Linked DNA regions of Arabidopsis thaliana. The protein of the gene in region 1 interacts with the protein of each later gene in a pairwise test. Each region holds a gene or a part of one and is shown on either strand. Other genes may lie near its edges.

Evidence for each region.
Region 2: the proteins of AT3G16670 (region 1) and AT1G10990 interact in a protein complementation assay, tested with the Arabidopsis thaliana proteins (one large-scale study listed by BioGRID).

What each region holds. Positions count from the first base shown.
Region 1 is NC_003074.8:5,679,610-5,683,201, forward strand, and holds AT3G16670 (Pollen Ole e 1 allergen and extensin family protein), read left to right. Parts: upstream 1-1,770; 5' UTR 1,771-1,890; coding exon 1,891-2,071; intron 2,072-2,218; coding exon 2,219-2,502; 3' UTR 2,503-2,753; downstream 2,754-3,592.
Region 2 is NC_003070.9:3,669,514-3,672,891, reverse strand, and holds AT1G10990 (uncharacterized protein), read left to right. Parts: upstream 1-1,700; 5' UTR 1,701-1,800; coding exon 1,801-2,379; 3' UTR 2,380-2,649; downstream 2,650-3,378. Other genes in the region: MLO4 (Seven transmembrane MLO family protein), read left to right, coding at 63-98, 188-255, 332-392, 502-957; AT1G10980 (Lung seven transmembrane receptor family protein), read left to right, coding at 3,071-3,300.

The DNA.
Region 1 (3,592 bases):
TTTCTATTTTTATGGAATATTTAGATATGGAGTTTTTATAAATTAAAATTGGGAAACAAATATTTTGTTAATACTATATCAATTGCTGGAAAAGATAAAGCTAAAACTCCGTTTAATTAAAGACAAAATAATTGAATAAATCATCATTTTCTCGTATTAGTGCAAATCTAAAAACCTATTAGTTTATAAACATAGAAAATCTACAAAACGAAAAAAAAATATCATCGTTGTTATATTTTTTTCTATAAAATTAGACTAATTAAACAAAATAGAGAAAAAAGCATTTCAGTCATTTTATAAAAGAAAATAAATAAATATAATGATGTGATACTAATTAATAATTTGACTAATTGTTAAACTTACACTCGATCAATATAAGTTTTAGCCAAATTGCATTAGTTGATGCATGAACTTTACGAATATTCGTTGTATGTAAAGATTTGCACAACAATATAGTATAGATTTTATATTTGGATCGTAACCGTGTGGCATAGTAATATGACTGTTTTTCTTATTGGTGGCGAATTTCAGTTTTCATGTAATTAAACTTTGGAACGTATGGTGTAAGCTTCCAAAACAATTGATTAAAATTACAAGAGCCCATGAAGATCGAAATCACTCTTCTCCAATAGCCAAAGCAAACGCCTAGAAAAATACCCTGCAAAATTCAACAAAAGTCGAAAGAAAATAAGATACTAAGAATGAATAACTTAAGTAAGCATGACATGAATTCAACAATGCCAACACGTCTGCTTCTATATTTCAGAGAAATCTTAATCTGGCCTCACCACTAGAAGCGACAACGAATTCAGAAATACACAATTTTCACCATTTACTTGAGTTTCTAAGTTACTACTTACTAGTTACTACTATTAAAAGTTATTGCGAAAAGTTTACCTATAGGGCAACTTGATCGAGATACGACTAATATATACAACTTGATCAAAGTCGAATAATATAAAAAGATCCCATGGACCAATCTGTTACATAAGATGGCTGCTGAATTTTTTCTTTATCCAGAGTCTACTTATTTAAGGTTGATTTGTTTTATATATAAGAAAATACATAAGGAGGAAAAAGGGCATCAAAACTATAGTCCAATTGTTTGATGGAGTATTGGTTTCACTGTATCTTTTTCTTGAACAAAAACTTTTAAAATGCATTTGAAGATAAAATTATATTAGTCCAATATCGCGTCTTTCTTTCTCAAGCCGTCTCTTTAACCATCTTGTGTCTTGCGGGTTCGAGCTCTTATAAGTGCATCAAACAAATTTCTTTAAGATTTAACCTCAAAATTTATCATTCTACTATGTCTTTTTTTAGCATTTTCCTATTAATAGTAAATAGTACTGAAACTATATAAAAAACATTTGGAGACAATATAAATAGAAACGGAAAACGGCAAATGATTAAAAATTTAATTACAAGTACGGTATGGATAATTCTTCAAGTTATCGATTATTGTATGTTTATTTTGGTATTTGAACTTCAAGATATCTTGGTGAAATAATATGGAAGACATCATTGTTTTACCTAATATATATAATTAATTGTCTTCAATGATATAAATTATATATAATGTGTAGGGGAAAATAACATAAAATAGAATGATTGCACACCATTGAAATTACATCCTAGGATCCGGGTTCACTACTAAACCCTATGGACGTTTTCACTTAAGTATATAAAAACAATAAGGTGTATAAAAAAAGTAAACGAATCATCTAAAGATATAACTAGAGCAAAGTAAATAGGAGGGGAGATATCTATAAAACTTGTTCTATAAATAGAGCTGCATAAGACAGTACTTTATCACATCCAAACCCAAAGCAACACAAACAAATATTTGCTATCTACTCTATAGTTTCATATACAAGTAATCCAAAAAAGATGGCAGTTATCAAGAAACACATAACCTTCTCATTGGTCTTGTTGTGTCTCATTGTGGTGTCTCCAATGGCTAACGCTCAGAGTGGTCTTGGTGGTATCAATGTCCCCATTATCAATGGGGTTCTCTTTTGCACCATCAATGGCGCCCCTCTCAATGGCACTCCGGCCCCGGCTTTCGCTAGTTAGTTGTCCATTCTTAACCTATACTATATATACGAACTAATAAAAAGATTCACGAAATCATATTTATCTTAATGACGAATATTCACAAAAAGATAATATTTATGATCTCTTTGTTGACATACTAATTTAATGGTGCAAATAACAGATGCGGTCGTCCAGCTCCAGTGTGGAAACCTAAACAGAGTCGTAGCAGAAACAATTACGAACATTGCCGGATTATTCACGTTTTCTACAAACGGAATTCAGATATCCCTTCCCACACTCCTCAACGATTGTCGTATCGTCGTCCCAACCCCTCGCTCCAGCTGCGACGCCACCCTCCCTTCCACCGGACAACTGATCTCCCAGTTAAATCTCGTCGGCAGTATCGTCTCCGGCCTCCTCAACATAGTCGCTATCCTCCCAACCGGTTTTATCCCCACAATCTAACTAAAACCAAACTATAAGCATAATTAATGTTCGGTTACAGTGTGTTTCCCTTCTCTATATATGTTTTGTGTCATGACCATTTACGTTTGTTTGCGTATGCATGAATAAGGTCAAGTTTCTGTCTCTGTCTTTGAAATAAAGCTCTTGTAAAACTTCTGTTTCCAGGGTCTTGCATGCATGTATAGTGCTGTAATGAAATGTAACAAATAATTTCCCTTTCTATCCCTAGCTATATATATATATATATATATATAAATATATATATTTTTTGGTAAACTGTTAAGTAAGCGTCCAATATATATTTGCTTTTATTTCACCTTTATTTTTATTTTACATCGAGTTTATCGAGTTTCGTATTTATTACACAAGTAGGAGGAAAAAATAAGGACAAGTTTAATTAGTGATGTAGCGTCTATCTTCCTATTTCCTTTTACGTCTTTTCCTTTTCAAGTTCGTCTTTGTTTTTGGGCTTTCGTTTTTGTTATTAGGTTTTCTTTAAACTGTGTCGGCTATTTGTTGCTTTAGCCTCAAGTTTCAACAAGGGATTTATTCTTAAGTTCGTATAAGTACTCTTAAACTTGTAAGAGATACGGTGGTTGTTTTGAATAAGAAAACAGAGAAGCTTTTCTCTATCTCAAGTCTTTGAATTCTCCTCTTCTCTTGATCTATTGATACTCGAGAATACTGAGAACTCTTAGCTACGGTTGCTAATTCCGTGATCCATCGATACTCGGAGTTTCTAACGTATTTACCGCTGTATTAATTAGCTAGACTTCAAACCGACATTAACTGTGTTAAGAAAAAAAAACTGTAAGTAATGCTTTTCGCAGCCGCTTTAGAGACATCCCTATCTCCTTCGCTAATTTGCACACTTCGTACGGGCTTCTCTCCTCTCTCTCTTAGATCCTTTCGTTTTCTATCCTAAATTCCAACAGTATTAATCCTCATCACTTTTATGGATTTTAATCTCCTTGTTGTTTCTGTAAATTATCGACTCTTTCTTGTTTATTGATTACCCTATGTACTAGTGTTGGGAAATAATTAATTAATCTCCTAATGATGTGGATATTAATTTGATCTTCTCTTCTGC
Region 2 (3,378 bases), on another chromosome or scaffold:
CTTCAAGCCATGATATTACTCTATTCACACAGATGATCCTTATATATTTCCTGCTAATGCAGAATGCATTTGAAATGGCAACATTCATCTGGTTCTTGGTAAGGCCACCTTATAAAATGCATCAATACTTAAATCAGCTATGCAAAGTTTTTCAGTTTTTGAGAAGATCATCAATTTCATGTATCAGTGGGGAATCAAGGAAAGATCTTGCTTCATGAAGAACCATGTGATGATATCAAGCCGGCTAATTTCTGGGTGCGTTTCAAATACACAACAATTCGCAGCAACACACTGTCTCTTAAGATTTTTTTTTTCTTTCTGGTGAATGCAGGGTTCTCGTTCAGTTCTGGTGTAGTTATGGCACTGTGCCTCTCAATGTAATCGTTACTCAGGTTCGTCAAAACCTTTCATATATCTACAATTCCACAATCTTAAGCCTATCCAAGTCTGTGACTAAACATCGTTCATAAAAACTCTATGGTTTCACCTGAATCTGAACAGATGGGATCTCGGCATAAGAAAGCTGTGATAGCAGAGAGCGTAAGAGACTCACTTCACAGTTGGTGCAAGAGAGTGAAAGAGAGGTCTAAGCACACGAGATCAGTGTGTTCCCTTGACACAGCAACAATAGACGAGAGAGACGAGATGACAGTGGGGACATTGTCTAGGAGCTCATCGATGACTTCACTGAATCAGATTACCATAAACTCCATAGACCAAGCAGAGTCTATATTCGGAGCAGCAGCTTCATCCAGCAGTCCTCAAGATGGATACACGTCGAGGGTGGAAGAATATCTGTCTGAAACATACAATAACATCGGTTCGATACCGCCTTTAAACGATGAGATTGAGATTGAGATTGAAGGTGAAGAAGATAATGGAGGGAGAGGAAGTGGGAGTGATGAGAATAACGGTGATGCTGGAGAAACACTTCTTGAGTTGTTTAGGAGGACTTGATCTTGTTTCTGCTTTTAGAAGCTTGGTTCAGTTGTAATTACTTGACATCCATACAAGAATAACAATTAACAAAGTAAATCTTTTGTTGGTCCAGTAAAAAAAAGTATTCAATGATCAAAGTACATCTTTTGTTGGTTCAGAGGTAAATTTAAAATATAATAGCATGGATTGGAACGAGATATTATGGCATTAGGAAACTTTTTGATTATGGCAGTATAAACAAAGACCACAAATTATGGCAGCTATACATATATTGATTTCAAAACAGAGATAAAGACTTGTCACCTGTCATTTGATTATTTATGAATTTACCTCTGCAGCATTTTCCTTCTTCTGTGCAGTCACGCCTACCGATGGATTTGATTAATTTCCTGTCGATTATTACTAAGTTGTATTTCTAGTAAATACAACTTAAAAGTAGTTTTGTACTCGGTCTTAAAACTAGTTTTGTACATAGTTTTTGAGTAAGATACTTTGTTTTTTTTGGGACAAAGAGTAAGTTAGTAATATCAAATTTTATCATAGTGATTGTTAATTTATGTCAACTACGAAATTAAGAAGTTATCAAATCTGATTTGAGTTATGATAACAATGTCATTGATAGACTCGGTCAATTATGGCATTAAGAAAATCTAAGGATTTAAGTAACCAGGTATCAATTATTACCGCCGTTGGTATTGACTTTTAAATAAGACTTGCCAGTTGTCACACACATGTCATAAACAATTGTTTTTTTCTTCTTCTTTTCATTCAAATGATAAAATTAAACTTGCACTATACAGTTTCTATAGAATCATCCATCACTAGATCTGGTCTGGCGATCCCCAAAAGATCAAGTCAAAAATGAATAACAGAGAAATGAAACATGGTAAAAAAAAAGACGAGAAGATGCCGGTTTTAGTGATGCCAGGTTTCATAGCCGGAGCAACATTTCTGGTTATTTGGATCATACGACGTGAGTTCCTTTTATCTTACTTTTGGTGTAACATAGATTTCCTTGCTTCTGTTTATCTTTTGAATAATCCATATATAGGCTATAGAAAGGGCTCCACCAAAACTAACTCGCCGCCACCATCCGCGCTTCCAAAGGCTCGAGAATGTGGTCCTGTGGCGTCCACTAAACCTAACTTAACACCTGCGCCGCCGCTAGGTCAGCCACGGCTATACGCTCAAGAATCTCAACAGTACAGTCTTGTGGCGTCCAATGAACCTGACTTGACACCTGCGCTGCTAGGCCCGCCACCGCTATACGCTCAACAGTCTCAACAGTTTAGTACTATTGTGGTGTCCAGTGAAACCGACATACCCCAGCTTCTGGTTCAATGTTGTCCGCCAGATGGAGACCGTGGATTAACAAATCAATACTATGCGGGACAAGAGTTCGACTTAGGAGGACACGACAAGGACAGCGATTCCGATTAAGAGTAGAGTACTTTTTTAAACAACTTTTGATTATGAATTTACCTCATCCACCATTTTTCTTCTCTTTATCTTGTGTGCACCGGCATCTTTAGACTATAATATATGTCGTAAGAAGAAGAAGAAGATTATAATTGGTTGATTTCAGTTATTTTATTATCAAAAAGGAAAGAGAGGATAATGTAATGTTGTAATCTTATATATATATATCCGAATCAGGGCGTCATTTCAGTTTACTAAATCATTTTTATTTATCTAATTTATGAACCATAGATGCGTTAAAACGTCTACTTAACCTTTTGTAAACTTGAGTGAATTGATGAATGGAGTAAAATTTCAAGTTTCATCGCATTCGTTTGTGTTATTAAGTTTTGTGCTGAGAGCAAATCTTCTTTTAGCCAAACAATGGGTGTTGTGGATTTCTAGACTTGATTTTATTTTCTAGCAAACTAAATAAAGTTTTGGGCCCAATGGGCCTGACTCATTGAACAACAAACTAGCCGTTGGTCCGTGTTTGTGCATAGCTCGGAGACGAGAGGTTGTACGTGTACGGAAAGTAACAGTACGGAGATTAGTCATGAAAAACAATAAACATGGTGCTTTTATGTTTTATATACTCCAAAAAGGGGTCTGCGTGACAGTGAGATAGACAGAGAGAGAAGAAAAAGAAGCGAGTGAGCAAAGTTTCTCAAAAATGACGAATCTGTTTCTAGGGTTTTTGGTGATTTCGTTTTGCTTACTTGGGAATTTGATTCACGCAGCTGACGGCTCGATTCACGACTACAACAACAGCGGAGGCTTCACCAAAATCGCCAATGCTCGCTACTTCGTTGGTGGTTCTGAAGGAATCTATGGTTCTGAGTTTCTGGATGTTCATCATGCTTCTTCTGATACACCTCTGCTCAAGGGAAACTCCTTCATCAGGTACGCATTTCGTTTTCTCTTCTGACTCTGTTCATTTCCTACTGAGTTAGGGTTTTATGTGCGATTTTATAGTGTGAG